4 linked regions of the Tamandua tetradactyla genome follow. The protein of the gene in region 3 interacts with the protein of the main gene of each other region in a pairwise test. Links are inferred from orthologs where the notes say so. Each region holds a gene or a part of one and is shown on either strand. Other genes may lie near its edges. The genes, in order: MED25, TRAM1, ESR1 and PNRC2.

Region 1 (7,911 bases), on a different chromosome or scaffold from region 3:
AAAGTCTGGGAATATTTTTGGTTGTCACATCCCAGGGGGTGGGGCTGGGCAGCTACACTACCAGTAACCAGTAGGTGAGAGACCAGGGATGCTGTCAAACTCACTACAGTGCACAGTATGCACGCCCCTTCCCCACACCCCCCACAGTAAAGACCACTCTGGCTCAAAGCATCACAAATGCTGAGGTTAAGAAACCTCATTCTATACTTACGACTAATTCTAATAACCACAACAGGGAGGCTTAGGAGTCTACTTTTCACTGCAGGCTCGACACCTGCACACACAGCCTGAAACAAAGCAGACACTCAACAAACAAGGCTGAACAACGCTAACAAGAAACAGCAGCTGGGCCACGGTGGCTGAGCAGGCAGGAATGCTTGCCTGTGATGCCAGAGGACCCGGGTTCGATTCCCGGTGCCTGTCCATGCAAAAAAAAAAAAGAAACAGCAGCTAAAACAGGGGCCATTTAATAGCCCATTAAATAGCCATTTAATACCAGACCAGATCAGAACTTGAGCTAAGCCCAGAGCAAAGATTAGCCCCTGAGCTCCTGTCAACAGCACTAAGAAATGGAATACCATGACCCCAGTCATAAAAGCACTAAGATTCACTTATAAACCAGGAAACTCAGGCACAAAATATTAGCACACACAAACATAGCACTTCACGTGGGCCAAACACTGTTTGCAAAGCAGTTCTCAACTCATTTAAAATTCTCAAAGTGCCCCTGTGATGTCGTGGTGGCTAGCCCCAAGGTGGCCTCCAATGGTCCCCACCCCTGGGAGCTCATGCCCTACTGCAGTCCCCTCCCACGCTGGACAGGACTAACTTGTGCACCAAAGAGAATGTGGCAGTAGTGATGGGTGTGACTTTTGGGGCTTAAGCCTAACAAGCCTTGTAGCTTCCTCCTTGCTCTCTCTGCTGGATTGCTCAGAGCTGGGGGAAGCCAGCTGGCATGTTAGGAGGCCATGCCAGCAGCCCCAGGCAGAGGCCTTGTGGGAAGGACCTGTGGCCTCCTGCCAATAGCCACAGAGTGTGCCAGCTTGGGAGCAGATCCTCCAGGCCCATTTGACATCCTGACCACAGTCTCAAGCAGACCCCCAGCCAGAAGCACCCAGCTAAGTCACTTCTGTTTTCTCTTTTTTGGGGGGTACATGGTCCAGGAATCGAACCTGGGTCTCCCGCATGGAAGGCGAGCATTCTACCACCGAACCATAAACACTTGTTGTTTTAAATCATTAAGTTTTAGGGTGATTTTGAACATGGTGGTAGGTAAGTAATACAATAAGTAAGTAAAACAGAGTCTAGTAATATCCTGATATCTCTTTTTAGAGATGAACTGTACAAGGTCCAGAGGAGCAGGGATTCCTGGGTCTGAGTGTTAGGTGGTGGACCCCAGGTGCCAAACTCCAATGAACTAGTACACTCTGACTTAAACCCAGGGGGATCTATGATGCCACAGGTGTGAGCTTTCTGTACTAAAGTTTCAATGTGCCTATCTGAACAAGGAGGGTTGGAGGAGACAGGAACCAGAAGAGAAAAACAGGAGGGGAGGCACAGAAGGACATGAAGTGGAATCTGGAGCTCAACCAGGACTCTCTGGCTGCAAAACCTGTCTCCATCCAAAGCAGTGACGATCTCACAAAACCCGCCACAGAGGTGCCTTATGGGACCAACACGCGATCTTTCCTCGCTGAGTCCTTTCAACTAGCCAATGGGAATGAATGGTTCCTGAAGCTCAATTCCAAGCCACGGCCAGTTCATGGCCCCTCATGGGAACCCCAACCCACCCCAGCAGGGAAGAAGCTCACTTAATGCTATCGAGCCAGGTGACAAACTCGTAGGCGCTGCTGGTGGGAGCATGGCATTGCACGTAGGACTCGGGAGCGCAGTCCACCGTGTTGAACACGACGAGGCTGTACTGGGTCCCCCCATACTGGGAGAAAAGGACAGAGGAATCTGAACTTGAGTTCCCAGCACCCTGATCCTTCAGAAAAGTTGGGTTACCGGCCGCCTCCTCCCTCAGACCCCGGAGTCCCGGCCTCCACCCCACTCCTCCCTCAGCCCCAGGTATCCGGGCCCCCAGTCTCCTCCTCCGTCAGACTCCAGAGTCCCGACCCCCAGAACCTCCTCCCTCAGACCTGGGAGTCTGGGCCCCCAGCCCCCTCTTCCCTCACACTCAAACAGTCCCGAGACTCACGTCTCCCCCGAAGTCCGTCTCAGCAGGAGGACCACCATTAAAATACCTATCAGGGCCAAAGGTCAAAAGTCGAGGTTAGCCAAAAGGCCATTTAAAACTAAAGCAGGAGGGCGGGTTTGGAGTCGCGGAAACGGCACTCACTCGATGGCCGGGAGCAGATAGTGCTTACGGAGCCCCTCGAAGTAGGGACCCAGGTTAGCCGTACCCTCGATCACAAACACGACGTCGGCCACGAGGCCCCCGGCGCGGGCCGGGCCCTCCGACCCGGGGACCATAGCCCGCGCCGCAGCCACCACAGCCACCGCCGCCACAGCGGGATGACCGGAAGTGCGCTGAACTGCGCGCGCATCCGCGCAGGGCGGCTTCGAGCCGCTGGGGATACGCCGGCGGCCATGCTTGTACAGGGCAGGCAGGGCGGTCGGTTCCATCCCCGTCCTCGTTCACAACCACCCGATGAGAGACCCAGACGGGACAGAGTGAGCCATCTCGGGAGCCTGGTGCGGGAGAGCGAATAGGGGACTGGATCATCCAGAACAAAACACAGCGACAGCGGCTCCGTCGGCCGCCATCTTTGAGCGGGGCACCGCTGTTTCCGACTCTGGTCTCCCTGGGCTGGTGAGGAGACCTAGTTGCTATGCGACGCGTACGCTGCCCTTGTGTTCAACAGGGAGATTTAAGTTTCTAGTTACATTCTCTCCAGCGGGTGCAGGATGGGTGAATGGTCCAATCAGAGCGTCCGAAATGGGCGTCGCTCGGCAACGCTTTAAGGCTGCAAACAACTTGGAAGCCAGCGAGGCTGTTTTCCCCGAAAAGAAGCCGAGCTCCTAACCCGGTGGAAGTTGCTAGGCAACACTTGCTAGTTGTTTGCTGGGAAGGGAGCCGGAAACTGGCCCCAAAACAAATACGTTCCAGGTGGATTAAAAATGTAAACAACGAAACCATAAAAATATCCGAAGGAAAAAGAAACGCGCTGTATCATTCTGAAAACCGGCCAAGATTTTCTTAGCATCATCCCGAAGACAGAAAACTTAAAATACTGGCATATTTTTGCCCACCGAAACAATGCCATGTTTGGAAGATATACAGGAAACGTCTTTGCAACATACCTGAGAATCAAAATTTACTACACAAATGAATCTTACGAATGGATAAAAAAGTAGAAAAATGGACATAGTCTTTTTTAATTTTAAATTTTTTTTTAAATGGGAAAGAGCCTGAGCAGCCTTTACACAAAGAGAAATTAAAAATGGCCAATAAAAATATGACAGCTGCCTGTCTTCATCGATTAAAAAGTGCTGACAGAAAGCCCGGTGAGATAGCGTTTTGCTTTTGTGGTGGTAATTAATATCAGAAAGGATATGGATGTTCATTGAGGTGGCAGAATTTGGGTAAAAGGAACAATTTCACAGACTGTCTGTGGGAATGTAAACGGGACGACTTGCTCCAATGCATTTTGGCGATATATGTTTCTGCCAAAAAACTGCATTCCCTTTGAAAACAGCAGAAGAATCAGCATTTTGCCACATTTACTTGATCCATCCATTTTGTCTTTGCTGAAACTTCGTAAAGCAAATCCCTGAAACCCTATCATTTTACCTCTATGTGGTTGCAGGCATTTCTAAACATGTATGGATTTTTTTTTTTGCATAACCACTTTCCAATTACACTCTTGACTAAATTAACAGCTGTTTCTCAGTATCATCTAGCACCATAATCAAATATCCCCTATTCTCTCAAAATGTCTTTTTACAATTGTTTTATTTGAGTCAGTCTCCGAACAACGGCGACTCACATATTATTTAGACATTATGACTCCTATGTTTCTTTTCATCTAGGACAGTCCACTCCTTTTTTATGCTAGCATGATTGAATTTCTAGCAAGTTTTTAAAAGGAAATAAAAGTAACATTGAGAAAGGAAAAATGATCAACAGGTAAGACAAGTATTTAAATGTTACCTGAAATTAAAATCTGCCCTGTTAACTTCATAAGGCAACTTTTCTTTAGATAGGTTAAATGCTTGATTGGTTGACATAATTGAGTTTTAAGCCTTTCTATATGTGTATTAAGAATGGTAAAATTAATGATTAAGTATTTTAGACTAGACTTCTGGAATTATGATGGACTAGGCGGACGAAACTGTTTTTAAGATATTGGTCGTTTCATAAGAGGAAGGAGTATTCTTCCAGGATCCTCTCCCCAAAGAAGGGAGGGAGGGAGGGAGAGGGAGGGAGAGAGAGAACTAGAAATTAATAAACAAAAAGGCAGGGGTGTTGTGTGTTGGTTTTTTGGGCAAAACTGCCTGCACCGATGTCTCCAGGAACTGAGGACAGTTTGAATCCGACAACTGAGTCTGGTTGTCTAGTTAAACCAGGACCTTCCAGGGCAGGCCGCTACAGCAGCTCCATGTGGGATGCATTCCTGATGACTCACAGAAACAGGAGTAAATCCTACACAGAGGACTCAGATCACGATCAAGTAACAAGTTCACAAAGATCCCCAGCCAGAGGTGAGAAATATAAGCAAGAGTCCACAGAAGCCACACTCAGTAGATGTAGACCCCAAGGGCCCCACATGCTGGGATGGCCCAGTTCATAACATACCATAAAGTTCCAAATAGTGAAAGAAATAAAGGGCACTAACTTATCGCATGCCATGTAACAAACTATGTCCAAACATTGTGATTTCAAACCTCATTTACTATCTCACAGTTTCCCTTGGTCAGGAATCCCTACACAGTTTACCTGGGTGCTCTGCTTCCAGGTATCTTACAGGCTGGAATAAAAGTGTCAGCTGGTGCTGCAGTCATCTCAAGGTTGAACCAGGGAAGGATCTGCTTCCATGCTCACTCACGTAACTATTGGCAGGATTCAGTTCTTCAAGGGCTGTTGGACAGGGGTTACCCTCAGTTCTTCACCATGCAAACCTTTCATTGCAAAATCCATAACAGAGCAACTTGCTTTATCAAAGCAAGCAAAAGGGCAAAAGAAAATGTCAGGAAGAGAGAAAGTGGAAGCAAGACATAAGCCATGGTCTTTATAGACTCTCCTTACCTTTGCAATACTCGGTTAGAAGCAAGTCATAGGTCCCCTTGCATGCCAAAGGGAGAGAATAACACAAGAGAGTGAATATGTAGAGAGACATTTTGGAAGCAGCCTACACTAGACCCAATCACAAAAATCAACGAGCACAAAGGAAATATCAAGAATAGGTGAAGTTGGTTCTGTGAGAAAATCAATAAGATTGGTAGACCCTTAGAGAGGTTGACAAAAAGAAGAGAGAAGATGCAAATAAATAAAATCAGAAATGGAAGAGGAGACATAACCACTGACCCTGTAGAAATAAAGGAAGTAATGAGAGGATACAATGAACAACTTTATGCTAATAAACTCAACAATGTAGATGAAATGGACAACTTCCTAGAAAGACATGAACAACCAACATTGGCTTGAGAATAGACAAGCTCAACAAACCGATCACAAAGAAATTGAATCAGTCATTAAGAAGCTCCCCCAAAAGAAAAGTCCAGGATCAGTTGGCTTCACATGTGAATTCTACCAAACATTCAAAAAAGAATTAGTACCAATTCTGCTCAACCTCTTCAAAAAAATTGAAGAGGAGGGAAAGCTACCTAACTCATTCTACCAAGCCAACATCACCCTCATAACAAAGCCAGACAAAGATATTACAAAAAAAGAAAACTACAGACCAATCTTATGAATATAGATGCAAAAAATCCTCAACAAAATTCTTGCAAATCAAATCCGGCAGCATATTAAAAGAACTGTACACCATGACCAAGTAGGATTCATCCCAGGTATGCAAGGATGGTTCAGCATAAGAAAATCGGTTAATGTAATACACCATATCAACAAATCAAAACAGAAAAACCACATGATCATCTCGATTGATGCAGAAAAGGCATTTGACAAACTTCAACATCCTTTCCTGTTGAAAACGCTTCAAAGGATAGAATTAGAAGGGAACTTCAACATGATAAAGGGAATATATGAAAAACCCACAGCTAACATCATCCTCAATGGGGAAAAATGGAAAACTTTCCCCTAAGATCAGGAACAAGACAAGGATGTCCACTATCACCATTGTATTCAACGTTGTGTTGGAAGTTCTAGCCAGAGAAATTACACAAGAAAAAGAAATACAAGGCATCAAAACTGGAAAGGATAAAGTAAAACTCTCACTGTTTGCAGATGATATGATACTATATGTCAAAAACCCCCAAAAATCCACAGCAAAACTACTAGAGCTAATAAATGAGTACAGCAAAGGGGCAGGTTACAAGATCAACACTCAAAAATCTGTAGTGTTTCTATACACTAGTAATGAACAATCTGAGGGGGAACTCAAGAAATGAATTCCATCTACAATTGCAACCAAAAGAATGAAATATTTAGGAATAAAATTAACTAAAGAGACAGAAGACCTATACAAAGAAAACTACAAGACATTGTTAAAAGAAATCACAGAAGACCTAAATAGATGGAAGTGCATACTGTGTTCATGGATTGGAAGACTAAATTTGGTTAAGATGTCAACTCTACCTAAATTGATTTACAGATTCAATGCAATACCAATTAAAATCCCAAAAACTTACTTTTCAGAAATAGGAAAACCAATAACCAAATTTATGTGGAAGGGCTGGGTGCCCCAAATAGCTAAAAGTATCCTGAGAAAGAAAAATGAAGTTGGAGGTCTCACACTACCTGACTTTAAGGCGTATTGTAAGAATTCGAGAGTTTTGCCACGCAAAGGACTCCAAGAGACGTTCTCTCATGCAACACGCAAGGGGTTTATTTACCACACATGCGTGGGGCTCACTGAACATGCAGGAACAGAGAGCCCCGAGCCTGGATTTGGGGAAGCTTTTAAGGGGTAGGAGGAGGGGGGTGAGGGTCGAGCATGGGTCACAGGTGCTGCTTCATGCAAGAAGCAGATAACAGACATTTTGCAAGAAGCAGATAACAAACATTTTGCAAGAAGCAGATAACAAACATTTTTCACGCATGAGTCATGGGAGCTGCTTCATGCAAGAAGCAGCTGTCTCGTTGTGCAAAACTCCCTTACTCAACCTTCTCAGTTGCATTCTTAGATAAACTTCCTCCGGCAGTTACAACCTTGCATAACCAAGGCAGCAGATAACCTTGCATAACCAAGGCAGCAGATAACCGCCCCTGGGAAGTTCCGGGTTGTTTTTCTTAACCTGATGGGGCCCATAACTCTTTTCTTTACAATTCTTAACTCACACCAAATGCATAGCAGTGAATATAAAATGACACAAATGCTTTTGCTGGATATTTCTACCATTCAGAAGCTAAAATATATGTAAATAGCTAAATTAAGCAAGAAAAATTAGCTACTGTTAAGCTTTATAAAATCCTTCTTTACATTCCCCACTCCTTTTTGTACATATCTCTAATCTTAGAGATTTTCTGGGTTATTTAATACTGAGTACTCTTGTCTGATGAGCATTAATTTGACATTTCCAATCTGCCTTTGTAAAAACTGTATAATTCTATTTAGAATATATGGTCCTATAGTTATTATTAAAAGTAACACAATTAAAGGCCCAGCAAGAGCAGATAATAGCGTTGTCAACCAGGGGGACTTAGTAAACCAAGATTCAAACCACCCCTGTTGCGCCTCTCGTTCTTTTTGTCTTTCACGAAGGCGCTCTCTGAGTTTTGTCATGGAC
Region 2 (8,019 bases), on a different chromosome or scaffold from region 3:
AGAACTGGGACCTATAGAGGCAGCAAACAAGCCTGGATGGGTGGGCAGAAGCCAAATCATAATGGGATATTTGGTTGTGCTGTCTTTCAATGAAAGAAAAGGGAAACTGCTGAAGAATTTTTAGCCTGTTAGAAAAATCATTCTAGAATGAAAATTCGAAAGTGATTCGTAGTGAAGTGAAACTAGTGATATGACCAGAAAGGAAGGTAATAATAACAGTTAACCATATATAGCCCTAACTAACTATCTGCTAAGCACTTTTCTTGAATTTTCATATAAATACTAAAGTTCATGTTTAAGCAATTACCCCCATTTTATAGATGATATAGGTATGGCTTGCTCCCTCACCTCCTTCAGTTTTCAGGCAAATGCAACTTCACCGCACTTTCCCTATTTCCCTTTCCTGCTTTACTTTTCTCATGGACCCTCATTTTCAATTCAATACATTTCATTTTTTAGATCTTGCTTAAAGATTCTCTTCCCACACTAGAATGAAACCACATAAGAATAGTTTTATTTTTCCTTTTTGTTCAATTCTGTATTCCCCATACCTAGCCATGTAATAGATACTCAATAGATACTTTTTAGTATTAAAATATATGAATGAGAAAATCAAGTCTCATAGAAATTAACTGACTTCTCCATAATCGTACAGGCAGTAAGTGACAGAAATCTGATCCAAAGGCCCATGCTCTCTCCTAAGACTCAGAGTTGGAGTTCTGCAGCTCTGAAAATCAGCATTGCTACATACAACAACTGTTAAAGAAACCAAAAAAGAGATCAGGCTTTAGATATAAGATATAAGAATGAAGCCAATTTTGTTGGGAGGTAAGGTAAATCAGAATACAAAGCAAAAGATATTATTGTCTGTATTTTAGAGTTTTATCTACTATATGAGGCAAAGGAAGAGAGGTTTATTTTTCCAAAATCTAAATTTTCTGTAGCACACAACCTAACCCAACCTGCCTGGACAACTCATTTAAGCAATCCAAACACGTGGAGACCAGAATGGGAATGAGGGCTTGTACTTCTGTACAGCTTAATGTAATACCCAGATACATCCCAGAGTATACTGGGTGGATAATTAAAAAGTATTGGCAAATTTCCTTGAGGGACTAGAGAAAAAATATGGAACTATTAAACTTTCACACTGGAGAAAACCCTGATACTCTCTCAAGTATTAGGGACTCCCAAGTTAATAGGTCAGGCCTTTGATCTTGAGGCTTGCCCTTATGAAACTTATTTCTGTAGCAGATAATTTAAACGTACCTATAATTATGCCTAAGAGTTACTTCCAGAGAACCTCTTTTGTTGCTCAGATGTGGCCTCTCTGTGGTCTCTCTCTCTCTCTCTCTCTCTCTCTCTCAACCCAACTCTACAAGGAAAATCATTACCTCCCCCCGCCACATGGAACATGACATCCAGGAGTGTGAGTCTCCCTGGCAACATGGGACATGACTCCCAGGGATGAGCTTGGCCCTGGCACTGTGGTATCGCAACACCTTCCTGACCAAAAGGGAGAAAAGAAATGTAACAAAATAAGGCATCAGTGGCTAAGAGAGTTCAAGCAATGTCAAACAGTTTTCTGGAAGCTACTCGTAGACAAGCTTCAGTTAAATATTGCTAATTACCATGGTTTGCCAAACCTCAACCGACATCATTCCTGTTAACCCTAATGAACACCTAGGGCTCTATCTGAGAGTCTACAAAGTTTCATGCACTAAGTTCACTTTCCAGAAACTGCAAACTCCAAATGGTTCCTAGGCCAAATAAGTACTGAAACCCAGAAAGGCCAGCCTCTCCAAGAACACCAACTAGTTTCCTGTATTATTGTGCCCATTTGAAAATATTATGTACCTCAGAAAAGTCATGTTTTTTTTAATCTATTAAATTTATTTTAACTTTGTTTCCCCTATTATTTATTTATTTTTAATCCATATGTTTTACTCATCTGTCCATAAGGTAGATAAAAGAAGCATCAGAAACGATGTTTTCACAATCACACAGTCACATTGTGAAAGCTATATCAGTATACAATCATCTTCAAGAACCATGGCTACTGGAACACATTTTCAGGCAGTTCCCTCCAGCCTCTCCATTACACCTTAACTAAAAAGGTGATATCTATATAATGCATGAGAATAACCTCCAGGATAACTTCTCGACTCTGTTTGGAATCTCTCAGCCACAGACACTCCATTTTGTCTCATTTCTCTTTTCCCCCCTTTCAGTTGAGAAGGTTTTCTCAATCCCTTGGTGCTGAGTCTCAGCTCATTATAGGATTTCTGTCCCACATTATCAGGAAGGTCCACACCCCTGGGAGTCATGTCCCATGTAGAGATGTGGAGGGCAGTGAGTTTGCTTGTCATGTTGGCTGAGAGAGAGAGAAGCAACAGAAGAGGTTCTCTTGGGGGTGACTCTTAGGCCTAATTTTAAGTAGGTTTAGCCTATCTTTTGTGGGGTTAAGTTTCATATGAACAAACCCCAAGATTGGAGGCTGAGCCTATTGCTTTGGTTGTCCCCACTGCTTGTGAGAACATTAAGAATTCTCCACTTGGGGAAGTTGAATTTTCCGCCTCTCACCATTCCTCCAAGGGAACTTTGCAATTAAGAAATTTCATGTTTTAATCTTGGTCCAACCTTGTGGGAACAGCCATTTCTCTTAATCCTGATTCAGTACTCTAGGTTGGAAACTTTTGATTAGATGATTTCCACAGAAATGTGACACACCTAATTGTGGGTGTGACCTTTTGATTAGATGGAAATGTGATTCCACCCATTCCAAGTGGGTCTTGATTAGTTAACTGGGATCCTTTAAAAGAGGAAACATTTTGGAGAGAGTCAGAAATGACAGACACCTCAGAGCTAACAGAAACTTCACAGCAGAGCTGACACAGATGCAGACACGTGGAGAACAGAGGCATGGATGTTTGGAGATGCGTGGAACCCAGCAGACATTGCCATGATAGGTTAAGCAACCCTGAATGTGGAGAGAGCCAAAGGAAGTCCAGAGTTGAGGGTCAGCCCTGGAGAAGTAAAATGAGGAACCCCCACAGGAACAGAGGCTGCAGGCAATGGAGCCCAGGAGCACTGGACCAGCAGATGCCCCATCGGCTTTTCTTGAGTGAAGGTAACCTCTTGTTGGTTCCTTAATGTGAACACTCTCACTTTCTTAGAACTGTAAATGTGTTACTTATTAAATGCTTTATAAAAGCTGTTCCAGTTCTGCTGTATTGCATCCCGGCAGCTTGCAAGCTAATGCAATTGTTACCACCTCTTTTCAACGTGAAAAAAAAAAAAACTTAGAATGGCCATAGTTCAAATACCCTAAGCGTGGGATAGAAAGATCAGAGGTGATGGGGGAGTTATACAGAGAAGGTAGGGTTTAACAAATGAGTATGATTGCTGAATCATTAAATTGATATTTCTTTTAGTCTCTGGTGCCTTAGAGCAGCTAGAAATGAAAACCTAAAATTGTGGAATTGTAAACCATACCAAACTCTGAAATCTGTTTTACGACTAACTGTGGTGCTGTGCTTTGATTCATTGCTTTTTTTGTATATATGTTATTTTTCACAAAAAAGAAAAAAAAAGTTAATTGTAATGATAAGAAAATATTTATTCCTTCTAGCCTCTTATATTCTGAAGCAGCTAGAGGGAAAAGTCTGAGAGGATGGTACAGTAGCCCATGACAAACTCTAGGAATTGTCCTGTAACTGCTTGTTGAAAAGTGCTTTGAAAACTATTGCTTTTTTCTTACTTTGCTTTGTATATATGTTATACAATTTAAAACGTTAGAATGGGCAAAGCCCAAATACCCCTAAAGACTGGGAGAAGATTCAAAGAAGGAGGAATTATAACAGAGAATATAGGATTTAACAAAGGAGTATGACTGCTGAATCATTATATTGATTATTTCTTTTTAGTCCCTAGTGTCTTAGAGCAGCTAGAAGGAAAAAACAAATTGTGGAACTGTAACCCGTATCAAACTCTGAAATCTATTTTATAAATACTTGTCAAATTATACTTTGAAATTTATTGTTTTGTATATATATTTCACAATAAAAATGCTTAAAAATGTAAAAAATAAAATAACCCCCCATGCTTTTAAACCACTGATTTCACCAGAGTTGTAATACTGTAGGCAAGAGATGACTCCCCCGAGGGGATGGAATTGCCTGGGTTTGGTGATAGTTGGATGTGGAAGGATGCTGAAGGAAATCAATCTTGGATGACTCTGGTTTCCGCATTTGACAAAAGAGATAAAAGGCAGTATAATTCATGAGAAAAAAGAATAGAGTACTGGTTTATACACAGAGATGAAAGAGGAAGACGTCTAATTCAGTCCTTTTTTCCCATCGCCCTTGATGACTGAAGTGTTTTTAATAACAAGTACCAAGCAAGCTGAACCACCCTGGTCCTTCAGACCGTGCCCCGGCGGTGGGGTGGCAGTACGTACATGGGTGGGTAGGCTGGACCCGAATAGTAACTAGTTTTATTCTGTCTTTTTAACGCCAGACCAAGCCTAAGGACAAGTTCCCAAGAGCGTTTAAAATATTTCTGAGGTTAAAGCAGATGTTAAAACCGAAGAATGAGCCGTGCCGACGTGTAATCAGGCCACGGTCGTATTTTTAGATTATCTCAACGGTGGCAGTGGTTTTCAAAAAGTGACAGTCAACAGGAAAGAAGACTGACACCCAATCCAGCGTGGCGGGGAAGGCAGGCTTAGGGCCCCGCGCACCACCGCGAGAGGCCGCCCCCGCCCCCGGCGCGGGAGGCTCGCGCCACAAACGACTCCCAACCCCCGGCGAGCGCCGGGCAGGGGGGTCGCGGCTGGATTTCCTTCACTCCCTCAGGCGGCCTCCCGCGCCCAGGTGGCGCTGTGGGCTCGCAGCGGCAGCGGTAGCACGAGCAAGCCCTGTCGCCCTGGTGCGCATGCTCTCTCTCGCTGCGGGCTCGCCTCTTTTTTTTTTTCCGGGCGGCCCCGGCGGCTGCGTACTGGTTGTGGGATGGGAAGTGGAGCCCCAGTGAGCGGCTGCGGCGGGGCTGTGAGGAGCAGCCAGGGGGCGGCGGGGGCGGCGGCTAGGCAGTGAGGAGCTGGGTCGAGCGGAGCTGGGGCGGAGCACCTGCGGCACGGCCGGCGGCCCCACCATGGCGATTCGTAAGAAGAGCACCAAGAGCCCCCCGGTCCTGAGCCACGAATTCATCCTGCAGAATCACGCGGACATCGTCTCCTGTGTGGCGATGGTCTTCCTGCTGGGGCTGATGTTCGAGGTGAGCCCGCCACGAACCCAACCGCCCTCCCCGGGTCCCCGACCGGTCCGTTCCCGGACCGCGGGGGACGCGGGCCGGGGGTCGGCGTTGGTCCGGTCTTGCCCTGAAGTGCTGCCCTGCCCAGCCTTCGCGGCCGGGCTGGGGATGCTAACCCTCCGCCGGCCTGGGCGCCCCGGCTGGGTGGGTTGGGGGCCGCCGCGTCGCCCCCTCAGCCGACCCGCAGCCCTCCCTGCCGCCCGCGCCGCGCAGTTCCTGGTTCCCGCGAAGGACTACGTGGCAGCCAGCGAGGGGCCGGCGGACGGGCGGGGGCGGCCCCTGGGCGGTGGAGCTGGCTCTGCGCGGGTGGGCGGTGTGGAGGGGGCGACCGAGCACCGCTAGGGTGTGCGTGGGGCCGGCGAGGGGAGGGGAGAGTGAAGGCCAGGCCTCCGGGGACCGGAGGGCGCCGGCCCCGAGGCCACAGGCCCTGGGGACGTCGGGGGCCCCTGTAGGACCGAGATGGGGGCTAACGAGCAACAGACTGAGCCGCGCGCCTTCACCGATTTGAAGGGCGGTGGCGCATAGCACGGAAGGATGGCCACAGGTTTGGCACACTAAGGGCACACCCGATTGTTTTAATGCTGGTCGCTCAAACTGGTTTTATTGCCGATCAGGCGTTTCATCAGTTATCCAACCCTTTACCCTGGCACTTGCTTTTTCTTTACAGATTTAAGGTCTGAGCCATAAATCAAAGTTCTGAACAACAGTGCCAGGAGTCACATAATTTCCTTTCTGTTATTCAAGTTTGAGAGGGTGGAAATGTCAGGAGTGTGTAAATTCTCTTCCCACATATCTAGTATTTGGATAACTTTCGTAACAGCTGTTGAATATGGGAAATAAACTTTGCAAAGTGAATGTGTACATCCTAGGGATTTTTTTCCCGTCTCCCCTATACACGTGCCCATTTCTATCGTCCTAGCGCCTATCCCTCATTAAAATACTATTTAACTTCTTCCTTGTTTATCCTTTCTCAGAATAGGTTGTTTTTTTCCATTAGTCTCTGTTCGGAGCCTGAGTAGTGTCTGGGACATAGTAGATGCTTAAAATATATTTGTGGAATGAGTGAAGAATTGAAGAAAACGAATGGAATGAGACTCCAGTAACAGAAAGTAAATTTTTCGAATGAAGCCTATTTTTTTAGTGTTAATTATTAAATAATTAAATATTTTAATTTGTGGTTGCTTCTTTTCAAAGGGCTTCTCTGGATCTAGATATTTTTATTCCTGATAACTCTCCTGTATGTGTGAAACCACTGATAAGGAGGTAGCAGGTATAATGGAAGGAAAGGCAGAAGGGAGCAAACATATGTTACATGCACCTCATCTTCATTCTAGGCTGGACCTGTGCCACTTACTTACTGAGTGATCCAAGTCTGCACTTCAGTTTTTCTGCTCTACAAAGGAGGATAACATCACCTGTGCTATTCTCACATGCAGTGTTATGTTCATTGCATAGACCATATAATAGGATGTGTGAAAGCATCTGACACTTCATAAAATACTGTATGAAGGATGGCATTATTAAAAATGCAACACTGAACATTTGTATTAACCTTCTGAGCCCAAATTTGACATTTATATACACTTTCTGCTTTGGTATTCAAAGTAATACTTCTGTACATGCACTTGTATTCAACAAGTTTGTGTAATTTGTCATTACCCATCCCCACATGGTAAGAATTCCTGACTTTAAAAACATAATTTAGAAGTGTGAAATTTATTTGCAATGTTTCAAATGATTGGAATATAAATCAGAAATGACAGAAATGGCATAGCTTTACTTTTATGTAAAGTATTTCACATTCTTTTATCACATTTCTAGGGATTTTCACTGCCTATACCATATGTCCCATCTTAATGATTTTTTTTTAACAGTGAGTGGAGTTTCATCTTAATGTAAGTCTGTTGACTTAAATTTTGTAAATCTAAATTGACAAGACAGATGATATTAGTGGTGAAAGTCAGTTGAAAAAAGGCACATTAAAGTGGCATATGGAAGAGGAAAGTTTGTGCAAGTTGTACATTTTTCCTACCATTTGTTAAAGTTTTAGAATTTAAAAGCATATTTTCTACATATGGAAAAAAGTTAACTAGATTAGTTTAGCTGTTTTAACTTCTGGAATATTTGCTGCTGAATTTCAAAGTTAATATAATTATAGAGTTACAGTATTTATCTAGAATAATGCAGAAATTGTTATTTCTCAGTAGAATTGTTAAGCCTTTCGTATAAAGATGTTGAAATGTCAGAGGGTTTATAGTGAAATTGACAAAGCAGTAACATACTATATTACTAGTCAATAGGAAGCAGCAATATGTGTGTAGTATAAAATCCTGACCTCTGAAGCTAAAAGGGACCTCTGCAACTTGCTGATGGGGTGACCCACGGCATATTACTGAACTTCTCATAACCTAAGTTTTGTTATCTGTAAAATGGGGCTTATTGAGTTACTCTGAAAATGAAATTTACTAATAAATAAAGTGCCTAGTTCAGTGTTAGACTTAATAAGCAGTAGCTATCATTATTCCTTGGAAATTTACCAAAGTTGGGAAATAGAAGACAGCATTTTGTGTGAGAGAAGAGCCCAACAGTTAGCATCTAATGAGATTATATTATTATTATTGAAAAGGTTGATATAGAAAATAAAGATGCTTGGGAGGCTTTCTGAAAGTGAGGGTATAGTAGATGTGGAGTTAGGGGTTCCCAAGAGGA
Region 3 (7,479 bases):
TTATCACCTCCTCATGGGCTCGACTACATGTTAAGGGGACAATGAAGAAGAGATGGCCGTGGGTCATTGACATCAAGTTAGGTTGCAAAGTTAGCAGCCAACTCATATGGGTATTGACTAAGAAACTGAGGAACAATGGAGCAGAATGCTTTCTTTGATATGAAAATGAATATGAAGCATCTCTAATAAGCTTTTAATGTGCTCATCATAGCAAAAACTTTGCCTTTTTGCTGTTCTGCTGCTTTTCTCATGCCAAAGGGATATGACTATCCTTATAATCACAGGGAGAGGAAGAATGGAGGGAAGGTTGTTGGAGGTTTGCATACTTTCTGTTCCAGCACTTCATGTCCATTACAAAAGCAGCAGCATTTCAACCCCATGGAATACTCAGTTATCTGAATTCACTGTTCTTTTTTTTTTTTTAGATCAGCTACCCATTATTGCCAGATGAATGCAAATCTTCCATGAGTTTCACTCATTCATCCATGCAACCCATGTTTATTGTATATCTCATCCTAAACCAGAACTGGAATAAAAGCAACTTCCACATATCGAAGACTGTAAGAATTATTTCACAGGTAGTTTAATCTCATTTATTCCATATAATTATGCCTGGTAGCTACTCTTATTGTCTGAAAAAACACTTCTGTGTCAGAATCACACAGCTAGAAAAATGTTGGGGACCTATGGCATGGATTCAATTCAGCTGGGCTCTGAAGCTAAGTTGTCACTCATGAATGGAATCCTCACTAAAAAGTTATCTTCTGTGGAAAACCTGATCAGAAGTATAAGCTTTTTAGAGAAATATTTGGAGTGGGAGTGGGGAAGGAATGGATAGTGCAATCCTCTGCATCCTCTGAGTCACAGACTTTGATAAATAAAAAACTTACATCCCTTAGAAAGAACCACAGAACACACTGTTGTGTAAGGTTTTGCTGCTGTGGTCCAGAAGGAATGACCTAGGGTAGGCTACTGAGAGATTGCCAAGAAGGCAGACTCACCATCATCACCATCAACTTCATCAAAAGCCACCCTTAGATTACTGCCTTAAGGGTGTCTCTCAGGGACTAATGACAGAGAGGCCAATGGCAGGACCTTGTCTCAACTACCATTGATAAAGAATGTGCTATGAGTGTTTTACAGTGTGGATGACCTACTCTGAGCTGGGTCACCCTCTTTCCTGCCTATTTTTCCTGCCAACCAATCTGTAACCGCAGAGTAGAGATTTCTCTATGCAAAGCAAACTGACACTCCATCTCCCAGACCTTCAGCTCTGGCAATTGTACTGGTTAACTAGGTTAAATAATACAGGTAAATATCTACCAAGAACCATGTAAAAATGTTTCGCAGGCACCCAAAGTAAATTTACTTTGTAAATTTATTTTGTATAAAGGCTTAGAGTGAGGATTTGGAGGAGGTAGCAAGCTCCAGATCCTAAACTAAATGAAAGATGCAGAGTTAAATGAAATAAGAAAGTTGTTTGACTTTGTTTCTGCTTCAGGTTTATGACCTATGTGCTTTATACCTCCCTTACCTGTCATAAGCAATGAAACAAAACAAATATCTCCAAGTGTCTAAGAAATATATCCCACTAAGAAATACCCTGACCTTTATATTCAAAATCTAGCTTCTCTAAATCTGCCTGTTTCCAAAACCCAAATCCTTTATTGTTCCCAATGTCTTTGAAAATACAGCAACTCTTAGGATTTTATATCCATGCATTTTAAGGCCCAATGGATGGTCTTCGTATAATATTATCAATTGGGGTGAACGTTTGGTTTAAAGAAGTACAAAAGAATGTTCTAGAGTGGAAATTGGGCTTCGAATTTTCAGAAGTTCCCAACCAACTTCATTTCTTTTAGTTCTCTATTCAGTTCAAATACCTTCACCTCTTAAACACAACTTCACTCTCAATACTAATATATGTATCTGTGTACATCAATGCATATATACATTCAAAACAGGAGAAGTTTCCAGCAACCTTTTGCTTAGAGCTATTCTGTAAGTCTATTCAATCTGGCCCATAAAGCTATTAGAAATCTAGGACCTTTGAAGAGAAATTAGTGCCACAATTCTAAGTCCTATAATGCCCAGGCCTTTATCCAGCGTTAAGTATTTTTAAAAAAATCATGTCAGCTTCTATGGGCACGTCTGACAGAACAAAATCTGGTGACCTTACTGACAAAACGTGAAACCTAAAACTTAACAAATACTTCCTGAAACGTGGGACATTCCTCTAATCAAAATGAAAGTATTTTGTCCCAGCTTTTTTGACTATCACATCGTTCGCGATGGAGCCACTAATGCACGCACCACCCTGCTACAAAACAAAAACTAGCCTATCTTTTCCACAGAAGAGAAAACTGAGGCAGCAGGACTCAAAATAACTTGTCTGAAACCATAGGGTCATTGAAACAGAGGGTAGCTCATCCTGGTATTGCTAGATTGTGTAGCTCTTCAGAAAACTTTACTGCCTCCAGGAAACAAATAGTGGCTTGTTCAGATTGCTGCATTCAAATTCGTGTGAGTTATAGCACCAAAGATGAAGAAAACAGGGAGTATGTTCACGCTAGTCAGTGATCAGATCGAGAACTGGTAAGATTCCGACACACTAACAATAGAGAACCTTACAGTGAGAGGAGTCCAATAAACATACTTTATCTGGGGCAGCCAGGCAGCCTATCAGCGCAGAACTGAAGAGAGGACTCGCCTTGCCCTCTGACTCAGCTGAATATTATTCCAAAAGTGAATTTCCACTGTACCAAGTTTAGATTTAACGTTTTAACACCGTAGTCAGACTTGCCTACAGGGACGTTTTGCTTTGCAAAGGCTTTGAAAAATATCCCTGGAGCATTTAGAGAAAAATGAACGCCTTTTAACGTGAGAGGTAAGCTCTAAAGTTACACTGTGCTTGTAAACAGTAGCATATATATAGCAAAAACCAAAAAAAAAAAAAATTAAACTGAGAAGAAAGAGGAGTACCTACTTGAAGAGAAGGCTGTCTTCTCGTGTTACTGAATGGACAGGAGGAAGGAGTGTTAATCTTTGGAGCCGTTAGGGAGCTTCTGAGCCTGGAGCCTGCATTTTCAGTTTTGGAGAAATCCGTTCTGAGGCAGTAGACAGGGGGCCGTTATGATCATGAAATTAGGAAATGCAGCAACTCAAAAATAAAGAACTAGCACCACCATTTGACTAGGACTGGAAAATCTCCTTGAAAAAAAATAGAGGAGGGGGTGGCCTTGGTTTCAGCCAGCTAGGCCTGATGAACTTTCGCAGCACTTCCTTTAAGATCGATATTTAACAAAAGATAAGTGATGTGTTCATCTGCTTGTAAAATTTTTATGCAATCTGGTCGATTGAAATTTTTATGCAATCCAGTCGGTTTTCTCTTTACTTATAATAAGGTTTGAAGTCTAAACAGGAGTGTCTAGTTGGAAAATATATATACAGCATTCATTCAGCACATAAATGCTTAATCCAAAATTAGTTACAGCTAAAAGTGGAAATGAGGACACATATTCTGTGAGCATTTCTTTAACTTTCTTGCTTAGCCGTGGATACCTCAACATGCTCTGCCTTCCTGGTCGTTGATTAATTAGGTTTTTTACTGCACTAACCTGTACAGGTTTAGCTTTTCCGTGCCTCTGAAGCCCTTCCCTCTGTCAGATGATCTTACCCTAAACTTTTCAGGCATTTCCTACAGCAATTTAAGTGTTGATTGATTGTTTTTTTGCTTGTTTGGTTTTTTCTTTTTTACACTGAGACATTGTCTGAAGTAGAAAATGGGCTAAAAAAAAAAAAAGAATAGTGAGGTGCGATGGTGGTTCAGTGGCAGAGTTCTCACCTGCCATGCTAGAGACCTGGGTTCCATTCCCGGTGCCTGCCTGTGCAGGAAAAAAAAAGTGGAAAATCTGCTTCTGATTTATATAGCGTATATTTTTAAGGTTTTTGTTTTGTTTAGTTTTGCTTTTTAGATATTAGCTTTTCTAATCAATTAGACTTGGTCTTCCGAACATGAGAATGGTAGGACGAGAAGGTGAAGGAAGAAAATCTTTTGCCATCTGTTGGGTGAGGTGTGTCTCAAAACTGGCTTAGTCTTTCTCTGGAAGCCAACTCAGCAAAGTATATTCACTGCCCTCCTTTCTATATGGGACATGACTCCCAGGGGTGTAAATTTTCCTGGAAATGTGGGACAGGACTCCTGAGATGAACTGGGACTTAGCATCATGGGATTGAGAAAGCCTTCTTGACCAAAAAGGGGAAGAGAGAAATGAGATAAAATAAAGTTTCAGTGGCTGAAAGACTTCAAATAGAGTCAACAGGTCTTTCTGGAGGTTATTTTTATGCATTATATAGTTAGCCTTTTTTAGTTTTTAGTGGATTAGAAAAGGTAAAATAAACACCTCAAACTGTTGAGCTGTATTCCAGTAGCCTTGATTCTTGAAGATGATTGTATAACTATAAAGTTGTTACAGTATGACCGGGTGATTGTGAAAACCTTGCGATGACACTCCATTCATGGACAGATGAGCAAAAAATTAAAGGACCAAAAATATATAAAAATAGGAGGAGATAAGAGGTATGGGATGTTTGGGGTGTTTTGTTTTGTTTTGTTTTCATTTTTATTCTTATATGTATTTTTTTGAGTAATGCAAATGTTCAAAATTGATTTTTTTGATGAATGCAGTACTATATGATGATATTGTGAACCACTGATTATACACGTTGATTATATGGTATGTGAATATCACTCAAAAAAATTGCATTTTTAAAAGAAACTGGCTTGGTTACAAAAGAAAAACAAAACTCTCATAATCAACACCTAAGAACATTTTTAGGGCCTTTTTTTAAAATTTTTAACTTTTTTTTATTGTATAGTATAACACATATACAAAGCAAAGAAAGAAAAAAGTAATAGTTTTCAAAGCCCTCTTCAACAAATAGTTACAGGACAGATCCCAGAGTTTGTTATGGGCTACAATACGATCCTCTCCTATTTTTCCTTCTAGCTGCTCCAGAGTATAGGAGGCCAGAGGGCTTAAATTTTTTTATCATCACAATCGACATTTTTCCTTCCTTTTTTTGTGAAAAATAACATATATACAAAAAAGCTATAAATTTCAAAGCACAGCACCACAATTAGTTGTAAAACATATTTCAGACTTTGACATGAATTACAATTTCACAATTTCAGGTTTCTACTTCTAGCTGCTCTAAAATACTGGAGACTGAAAGAGATATCAATTTAATGACTCAGCATTCATATTCATTTATTAAATCCTATCTTCTCTGAATAATTCCACCATCACCTTTGATCTTTCCATTTCTCTCTTTAGGGGTGTTTGGGCTATGGCAATTCTAAATTTTTGATGTTGGAAGGGTCTGTCACTAATATGGGATAGGGAGATGTTCTGATGTTCTGGAGAAGCTGGGCTAGGTGTCAGGACTTATCTGGACCAGAGAACCATCTGGAGGTTGTAGGTTTCTGGAAAGTTACTCCAGTGCCTGGAATGCTTGTGGAATCTTACATATTGCCCTAGGTGTTCTTTAGGATTAGCTGGAATGGGCCTGGTTGACGGTTGGCAAGTTATGATAGGTAGCAATGTCTACCTGAAGCTTGCATAAGAGCAACCTCCAGAGAAGCCTCTTGACTCTATTTGAACTCTTCCTGCCACTGATACTTTATTAATTACACTTCTTTTCTCCCTTTTGGTCAGGATGGAATTGTTGATTCCAGGGTGGCAGGTCTGGATTCATATGACCCTGGGGGTCATCTCCCATGTCGCCAGGGAGACTTTCAACCCTGGATGTCATGTCCCATGTAGGGGAAAAGGCAATGATTTCACTTGCGGAGTTGGGCTTAGAGTGACTAAGGCCACATCTGAGCAAGAAAAGAGGTCCTCCAGAAGTAATTCTTAGGCCTGCCTATAGGTAGTCTAAGTTTCTATTCTATCTGCATATACTTCACAAGAGTAAGCCTCATGATCGAGGGCATGGCCTATTGATTTGGGTGTCCTTAAAGTTTGACACAGTATCAGGAAATTCCCTAATGGTAAGGTTTAATAGTTCCATATTCTTTCTCCCATCCCTCAAATGACTTTGCCAATACTTTCTGATTATCTGTTTAACATACTCTAACACCTAAGAACATTTAAAAAGAAATGATCTTAAGGACCTTTAAGCAATCCTCTCTAAACTTATGAGTTAGCCCACACAATAATTTGAATATGCAAATTTACCTGAGATTAATGTCCCCCAGCATGCTTACAGCAAGAAAGATTTTAGCTAACATAAGAAGTTTTAATTTTAATTTAACAAACATAAACTTTCCACAAGATGTGCTAACAAAAGGAATAGTCATGTATACTAATGCACTATTGGGGGGTATTTGCTTTTATTATTTTATTATGATTTCTGGTAGAAAGTAAGTTATTTAATAAACATTTGGATAGTTTAAACTTTTCAAAAACAAAATGCTTTTATGTACATGAATTAAATCTCTCAACTATTTTATTTTTCAGAGTGGATGAATTCTGTTTTCCAAATGGCATTTAGCAACCTGCAAAAATCGATTATAGACATGAATACAGAGAAGAAAATCATGGGGCAACACTTGCCATAACAGGACATCCATTGGGTTCTGAACTAAAGGTTATAGATCGTTTTCCTTTTATAGGAAAATTTAAATGTACAATATAAAATTTTAATTAGATTAATTGCTCTCAAGAGACTACTGTCATTTATTTGCATTTTAATATGGGCTTTCTCAAGTGGGAAAAAATTAAAAATTATAATAATTAAAGTAAAAATGATAATATTTTCTACTGAGTATGAGGTATCAGGTGCTAAGTATGTTCACAGCAACCCAGTGGGGTAGTGTATTAGTAAGGGTTCTCCAGAAAAACAGACCTGTAAATATAAGATTTACAAAAGTATGTCATGCAACCGTGGAAATGGAAGAGCCTCAAATCAATAAGGCAGGCTGTGAGGCTGGCAACTCTGAGGAATGGTCTAGATGAACTCCACAGGAGAGGCTTGCTGGCTGAAGAAGCAGTGAAAAATTCTCTCTTCTTCCTTAAAAGTCTTCAAAGATTGGATCAAAACCAACTGATTGAGTTATCTCATTTGCTGGAGACACACTCTTAGTTGATCACAGATGTAATCAACCACAGATGCAATCAACTGACTGATGATTTAATACACCAGCCTTCCAGTTTATCAACCAGCCATGAAATATCCTTGCAGCAATAGTTAGGCCAGCACTTACCTGACCAGACCACCGACCACCATCACCTGGCCAAGTTGACACTAGAACCTAGCCATCACAGGTAGGGACTATCAAAGCCTATTTTATAGAAGAGAAAATGGTGGAAATCAAGATTTAGTATCCCTAGCAAGACTTCATAGTGGGAGCCAAGATTCAAACTCAGGTGGTCCAACTCAAGAACCTGTACTTTGAACACATTCCTGCAGAATCAG
Region 4 (7,398 bases), about 59 Mb from region 3:
AGCATATATATAACTTGTCCATCCTTCAAAGTCAAGTTTCAGAAATACTTTCTTTTTGCCTGCCCCCACCCCCACCCCCACTCCCACTCCTATTTACAGGCTGGGTAGGTAATGTTTACTTAAAAGTTTTGACAGATTTTATTGATCATGGCTCCTCACCCACTGATACTTAATTTAAAACAGATTCTTCCATGGTAAAAAATTTCAGCAAATGTGGGAATCTTCTCTTTCTCCCCTCCATTCTGCAGGGTTCCGTTTCATTATAACTTGTACCTTACTAAGTGGTGGGTGTTGGGGATTCTTAGTATATGGATTTTTATGCCCACAATTGGCATTGCCTGTTTTCAGTCTCAGGGGAACTGAGGGAATGAATCTCCCCATCATACTAGCTTCCTTCTATGATAAATACTAAAGGAAACATTTTTTTAAGTTCCTTTAGGACCCTGATGGAGCCTTGTTTGTGTCCCCAAGGCTTGGGAAAGTGCCTGGCACAAAATAGGCACCACATAACTCTTTGTTAAATACATACTTTATATTAAGTACTCATGTATTTATTATGCATTTATCTCCCCATGTTGGTGGCTGATCAGCATCCTGACAGCTGTTTGTTTGCATCAACATTTTCCTATTTGAACCACGAACCATGAATTGGATCCTGTTAGTGCAACTACCTTTAAAGATTGGCCTGGTTAAAAAGTTGAAAAAGTAATGAGACTTTGACTAGAGATATGGATGAAGCTGATCTGGTTAGGACTAAGGTAAATCAGAATACAGGGTAAAGGGTGATATGGTCCATATTTAAGACTTCAACTTCTGTGCGAGACCAAAGGGAGAGATGTTTATTTGATGCAAAATTTATATTTTGGGTAGTGTATTACCTAATTCAATTTGTATGGACAGTTTACTTGAACACCATAAGTACAGGGAATCTTGAATAGGGTGTGAGATTTTGTCGGTTTGTCCAGGTTAGTGTGATACCCTGATATATCCCAGAGTAATTTGGGCAATGAATAAAAAAGTATTTGCAAAGTCCCCTTGGGGGATTGGGGAGAAAGGATGAAATATTCAACTTTCCCATTTGGAGAATTCCTGATATTCTTGCAAGCAGGGAGGACAACCAATCAATAGACCAAGCCCTCAATCAACAAATGCGGGAATCTTCTCTTTCACCCCTATAAAACTTATTCTTGCAAAGTATAAGCTAAGCCTGCTTATAATTATGCCTAAGAGTCACCCCCAGAGAACCACTTTTGTTGCTCAGATGTGGCCTCTCTCTCTAAGCCACCTTGGCAGGTGAACTCACTGCCCTCCCCCCTATGTGGGACATGACTCCGAGGGGTGTAAATCTCCTTGGCAATGTGGGACAGAATTCCTGGGATGAGCCGGGATTGAAAAAGCCTTCTTGACCAAAAGGGGGAAGAGAGAAATGAGACAAAGTTTCAGAGGCTGAGAGATTTCATACAGAGTTGTGAAGTTGTCCTGGAGGTTATTCTTACACATTATATAGACATCCCTTTTTAGTTAGTAGTGTGTTGGGGTGGCTAGAGGGAAGTACCTGAAACTGTTGCGCTGTGTTCCAGTAGCCTTGATTCTTGAAGATAATTGTATAATGATATAGATTTTATAACGTGTGTGATTATGAAAACCTTGTGTCTGATGCTCCTTTTCTCCAGGGTATGGACAAATGAGTTAAAAAAATATATATATGGATAATAAATAAATAATAGGGGGGTTAAAGGGTAAAATAAATTGGATAGATTGAAATACTAGTGGTCAATGAGAGGGAGGGGTAAGGGGTATGGGATATATGTTTTACTTTTTTTCTGGAGCGAGACAAATGTTCTAAAAATGATCGTGGTGATGAATACACAACTATGTGATAATATTGTGAGCCACTGATTGTACACCATGTATGGACAGTATGTACGTGAGATTTCTCAATTAAAAAAAAAATAAAAAAAAGACCAGCCTGCGACAAGCAGAGGCTCTATCAGATGTTCTGAAGAGGGTTTTACTTGAACTGCTGTTCTCCAGTACTGGGCTATTGGGGGTTCTTGCGAAAGATTAATGAATGATGAGGCTGGTGCTATGCTTAGCAGGTGCTCACAGTCTGGGAGTCAGTAAGGGCTTTGGAAGCGTTCTCCCCAGGGCAGCCTGACTCGGCTCTTTTGGCAGAGAACTTGGTCCAACCCGGCTGCAGGGTGGGGCCCTGATACTGCCCTAGCAGCCCGGGCAACCCCGTCAACGTTCAGTCAGTGCCTGGTCTGGACAAAGCCCGGCTGAGCTACAGGAGAACAAAGATGCTGTAGGGAACATGGAAGCTGGACTCTGGAGTCTTGGGGTGTGGCTCCCAGCTTTAAACTGTCTGAGCATCAGATTCTTTTTCTGAACAGTGGAGATCAAAATAGTACTCACCCCAAATGGTTTTTGTGAGAATTAAATGAGATATAAGCAAAACCATATAGGGCAGGGCTTAGGGCAGAGTAAGTATTCAAAATGTCTGGTTATACAGATAAGATTCAGAGGTCTACTGAAGAAATGAAAGACGAATTTCAGATGGTGATGGCTTTGAATAATTTTCTAAATGTTTGGAGTTTAGACTTTATTCTAGAATACAGAACATTTGAAACAAACTGGAATGAATTTTAAATTGTTAACACATTCAGCTGGATGGAGGGGTAGGGAGAAACCAGAAGGGGTGTGAGTATAGAGGGAGTAAATTTGAAAGACATATTTTGATGTTGATAAAAAAGGAATTAGGAAAAAATGTGCAGACTGAAACAGACTATTTTACAAGGCATTATATTAAAATATATATTCTAAGGGCATTTCCTGAGATCAAAGTCTTGAACCCATTAAACACGCCATTGCTATTATCTGGCTGGATATCTAAATAAGATTCCAGAATTTCTGAGAAATACATTACAGTGAGCTAGCAGCTGATTTGCCATGTACACCTTATTTGACTATAATATAATTAGAGCCAGAAAGTCCCCCTACCCCAAAATAACTGTTCATTTGATTAATGAATTCCTCTTTAAGGTACAGTAACTCTTCTTAAGATCCACAGCTAGAACACGGGGTTTTGTGTTGGGTTGGTGGATAAGAGGTGATAGTAGCAAAAAAATTAAAGATTAAAACACAAATTACGTGGGATTTATAAAAGGTCAGTATATATAAATTATGTAACAAAAAAGTTCACAGATGTATGAACTGCGAGTGTAAAGGTAAGGATTTTGGACCATTTATCCCAGAATTATTCATACAAATAGAAGTTAGGGTCCTCTTTTAAAACAGTTTGGGTTGCTTATACATTTACTCCAAAGAAGTTGTCCTTTCCCCTTCCCTGCACCTCACTGTTACGTTCAGCTGAGTGACATATCTTCTGATCTCTTTTTCAAGTAAAAACGGGACAGAAGGGGAAATAAGGGAGGTCACGTTTTCTCAGCAAACCTTTATAGTGCATTTACAGTGAGCGGGGACACTGTGCTAAAACACACACACACACACACAAAACAAAAAACAAAAACTTGGGTTTGCTCCTCGAAGGGTATATGCAGATGTGTTGGGGGGTCGGGGAGCCAGGTGGATACACACCGTTGCAAGAACAATAAGGTGCGATAAAAAGGTAAGGAACAGTGGGGACACAAAGAAGGGACTGATAACCTTGTGTGCATGAGTCAAACGCCTTCACAGTGGAGGTAACTTGGGGGTAACTGCGAGCAGAGGGAACCGCGTGCTCTGGGACTGGCAAAGAAGCTCCCAGAACCGAGGGAAAGGACGAAGACAAGTGTCCCGAGCAAAGGCCGGACACGCGGACTGGGGCTCGGTCATGGAAAACTTTTTTTGTATGTTTTCCATATATAAAAAAATAGGTTACATGGCTGAGTGCACTTAACTAGGGAACCAACTAACCATCCCTCAGTCACTCCTCATGGGGGTTAGTGGAAAAACAGGCGCGCCGAATGGTCAGGGCGGCGGCGCCCGCGAGGGAAGCAGACGCTGAGGGGCCTCTCCAGGCGCGAGCGCCCACCGAGGGCAAAGCGCGGCCCTTGGGCTGCGCCCGGCGTCCGGACGGCGGCGTCGAGGCCTCAGAAAGGCGCCGCGAGAACCCGGCGGTCGTACCCCGGGCTGCGGGCAAGGCAGCGAGCAGCCGGCGGGAAGGGAAGCGGCAACCGCTACGGTAGGGAGCAGTTATTCCCGACATGCTCCTCTCGGGAAAGATTTCAAACCCTCGGCAACAACCACCTCTCCTCCCTCATTCCAGTCCTGCCCCAGCAACAGGCGGCTGCCCGCTCCTCATTGGCTCAACCCCACACCCTCGAGTCTCGATTGGCCGCGAAGCCTCCCGCCCCTCTCTTGCGCCTGCCTGGGTATCCATTTTGTCGGTAGAGGCAGAAAGGGGTGGTCTGGTCGTCCGACACTGTGGTATTCAGCAGGTAGTTGGTCGGTGCTGTCGGGCTTTGCTCGTTCCTTGCCTCGTCTCTCCCTGGAAGGGGAGTGAGGCTTCATCACCTAATAGGATCCGCTGCTGTCGCAGTCTTGAGCTTGAAGTCGGTGAGTAGTGGTGTCGCCGCGGGTGCGGCCATGTTGGTGCCTGCGCTCCCCATTGTTGGGACAAGGAGGCGAGTAGAGAGACGCTTGGAACCCGGGCGGCCGGGAGGGACGCGGCCCGTGGGTTGGGGCTCGAGAAAGGTGGAGCTACTTGGAAGCCAAGCTCCGCATCGAAAGACCCGAGTTTTCCGGGTTCGACTTGTAAATGCCGCAGTGTCTGGGAATCGTAGTTTATTATAGAGTTATAAAAAATGCCTGGAAGGCTGTCTTAACTCTTGAAAAGAAAGGGACTTCTTATTTGTTGGTTAATTTGGTTTCATGGTATATTAAATGAAAAAATGAAACCTGCAATGTTAAATGGTCCCAGTAGGGAGGTATATTTACGTTTTTGAAGATTGAAAACCGTTTTAGATTGTTTTGCTTTTGAATACTTATTTTAAAAGCAGTGGGAGTCTAGTGTGTTCATAAGCAAAGGAAACACTGATGTAGACATGTTGAAAGAGGTTTTGTGTAAAATTCGGATTTGTGGATAAGCTTGTTTTTCTTAGGGGAGGTAATAAAGGGTATGCATTTATGTTGAGTGTTGAAAGACTGGAGAATTCTGGTGGGCTTTAACATCTTACTCACTTTGGGAAGTTAACATTAAGCCAATTTCTTGGTAGGAGTGTTAAGGCTAACACTTTCCAACTTTGACTTGAACGTTTCCGGTCACAAAATCCTTGTGAGAATCTTAAAAGGCACTTCCCAGGGAAAAAGATACACAAACAGAACTTAACTGCTTGACTTACAGACACTCTTTTAAGAATTCTCCAGGGGGGTCCTAGATCTCGAAGAGAAGAGTTCATGATAGTAGTTACAAAATCAAAGAAAGCCATTTTAGGGGAACATATTTTCTACTTCTAAGGAAATAGGCCATCCTTTACAATTATTTCTGTAATATAAATGACCACTTTTTCCTACTGAATTTAAGTAATCTTTGCTTTTCTAGCTAAGACTTCTCTCAAACTTGTGTGCTGAGGAAACTCAGATGTTGGCCTCAGCTCCTAGGCTGAACTCAGCAGATCGGCCCATGAAAACTTCTGTATTCAAACAAAGGAAAGGATCTGTCAGAAGGCAACACCTGTTATCCTGGGCTTGGCAGCAAGGAAGGGGACTGGTAGTGGAAATCCTGCAATCTGAAAAGCAGACTGAAAGGTACAAAAATTAGAGAATTATATTGGGCAGACATTTTAGCTGAACTCAAATCCTAAACCAATTGCTTTCATTTTAAAATAGAGGGTTATTCGGATTTGTGGATAAGCTTATTTTTCTTAGGGGAGGTAATAAAGGGTATGCATTTAATGAATTCTGAATACCCTCCTTTAACTTGAGTTAAAGCAGCTAATAATTTAGGCCCCCAAGACTTCAGAATTACAAATTGGGGCTATAGCAGCTTTCCCCCCCCCCTTTTTAAAATAAAAATAAAAAACAACTGTGAACTTAATGGAATTTTACTCAGTATTTTGTTTTCCATTAATTTGCAGGTGACAAAGAACCTGAAGATGGGTGGTGGAGAGAGGTATAATATTCCAGTTCCCCAATCTAGAAATGTTAGTAAGAACCAACAACAACATAATAGACAGAAGACCAAGGACCAGAATTCCCAGATGAAGATTGTTCATAAGAAAAAAGAAAGAGGACATAGTTATAACTCATCAGCAGCTGCATGGCAGGCCATGCAAAATGGGGGGAAGAACAAAGTACATTTTCCAAATAATCAGAATTGGAATTCCAGCTTACTTTTTAAATCTCAAACTAGTCAGAACTATGCTGGAGCCAAATTTAGTGAGCCACCATCACCAAGTGTTCTTCCTAAACCACCAAGCCACTGGGTTCCTGTTTCCTTTAATCCTTCTGATAAGGAAATAATGACATTTCAACTTAAAACCTTACTTAAAGTGCAGGTATAAAATACTAATGTTTAAATTTAGGCATCACATTTAAGACTAGTCAGTTGGTCTGAAACATTCATCTATTTTATATTTGTGTAAAACCGCTAATGTAGAAAATATGAATAGATTTTATCTCACTTGTTTTGTGTGTTGTGGGCACTATGAGGTAATGGTACTATCAGTGCAACTTAAAATAATTTGTTGATTGCACTTGACGTTCTTAATTGATAAAGAAGTGAAACCATGTATGTTTAGATTTAGAAAACAACAAAGGAATCTTTTTCGGATGCTTTTTTTGGGAATTATCATACATGGAATAGATTTACTTGTTGAAAGCTAGTCAATCAGATTCCAGACATCTAGCTAAGATCATACAGAGATCAAGAACTAGTGAAATACTTGAAAGTTTAATGTCCTACAAACACCTGAACAAGTACCAACAACTTGATGCACTGCCAAGAGAAAATGTGAATTTTCCTTAATGAGTAGTGAAGTACATTGTAGTAAATTTTACAGTGGTTCATGTGGAAAGGGCACTTGGGGGCTTACTAGAATGAGGTGCACTACGCCCCAATGGCCCTGTTCTCACATACAGTGAATAGGTGTCTGCCAGTAAATGCTCCCAAACCATTTTTCATAGAAACAGTATTTGGTGGTCACTGAGTAGCTTTCAAAATACATTTTCTGTATTCTGTACAAACTTGACAGTGAGTGATCTGGCCTCAAATCATCCTTGTAGAGGTTGGCGCTAAGTGGGGAATTGTATAATGTGAGTTTTATGTATCTAGGGAAGAGCCATGTAAATACATATAATAAACTTGTAGCATATGTAAAGTTTTGTTGGTCCTTATCCAACAAAAATAGAGTATTTTAGTATGAATTTGATGAATGTAAGACCATGGACTTTTTTATA

The links.
Region 1: the proteins of ESR1 (region 3) and MED25 interact in a two-hybrid assay, tested with the Homo sapiens proteins (2 studies listed by BioGRID). The link is inferred for Tamandua tetradactyla from reciprocal best matches to the Homo sapiens genes ESR1 and MED25.
Region 2: the proteins of ESR1 (region 3) and TRAM1 interact in a two-hybrid assay, tested with the Homo sapiens proteins (2 studies listed by BioGRID). The link is inferred for Tamandua tetradactyla from reciprocal best matches to the Homo sapiens genes ESR1 and TRAM1.
Region 4: the proteins of ESR1 (region 3) and PNRC2 interact in a two-hybrid assay, tested with the Homo sapiens proteins (2 studies listed by BioGRID and IntAct). The link is inferred for Tamandua tetradactyla from reciprocal best matches to the Homo sapiens genes ESR1 and PNRC2.

What each region holds. Positions count from the first base shown.
Region 1 is NC_135342.1:11,337,530-11,345,440, forward strand, and holds the start of MED25 (mediator of RNA polymerase II transcription subunit 25), read right to left. Parts: upstream 3,016-7,911; 5' UTR 2,629-3,015; coding exon 2,342-2,628; intron 2,247-2,341; coding exon 2,201-2,246; intron 1,937-2,200; coding exon 1,812-1,936; intron 1-1,811. UniProt on the Homo sapiens protein: Component of the Mediator complex, a coactivator involved in the regulated transcription of nearly all RNA polymerase II-dependent genes.
Region 2 is NC_135332.1:114,504,141-114,512,159, reverse strand, and holds the start of TRAM1 (translocating chain-associated membrane protein 1), read left to right. Parts: upstream 1-4,886; 5' UTR 4,887-5,151; coding exon 5,152-5,274; intron 5,275-8,019. UniProt on the Homo sapiens protein: Involved in the translocation of nascent protein chains into or through the endoplasmic reticulum (ER) membrane by facilitating the proper chain positioning at the SEC61 channel.
Region 3 is NC_135328.1:143,353,815-143,361,293, reverse strand, and holds the start of ESR1 (estrogen receptor), read right to left. Parts: upstream 3,133-7,479; 5' UTR 2,987-3,132; intron 1-2,986.
Region 4 is NC_135328.1:202,313,890-202,321,287, reverse strand, and holds the start of PNRC2 (proline-rich nuclear receptor coactivator 2), read left to right. Parts: upstream 1-4,241; 5' UTR 4,242-4,557; intron 4,558-5,542; 5' UTR 5,543-5,748; intron 5,749-6,077; 5' UTR 6,078-6,095; coding exon 6,096-6,503; 3' UTR 6,504-7,398. UniProt on the Homo sapiens protein: Involved in nonsense-mediated mRNA decay (NMD) by acting as a bridge between the mRNA decapping complex and the NMD machinery. May act by targeting the NMD machinery to the P-body and recruiting the decapping machinery to aberrant mRNAs.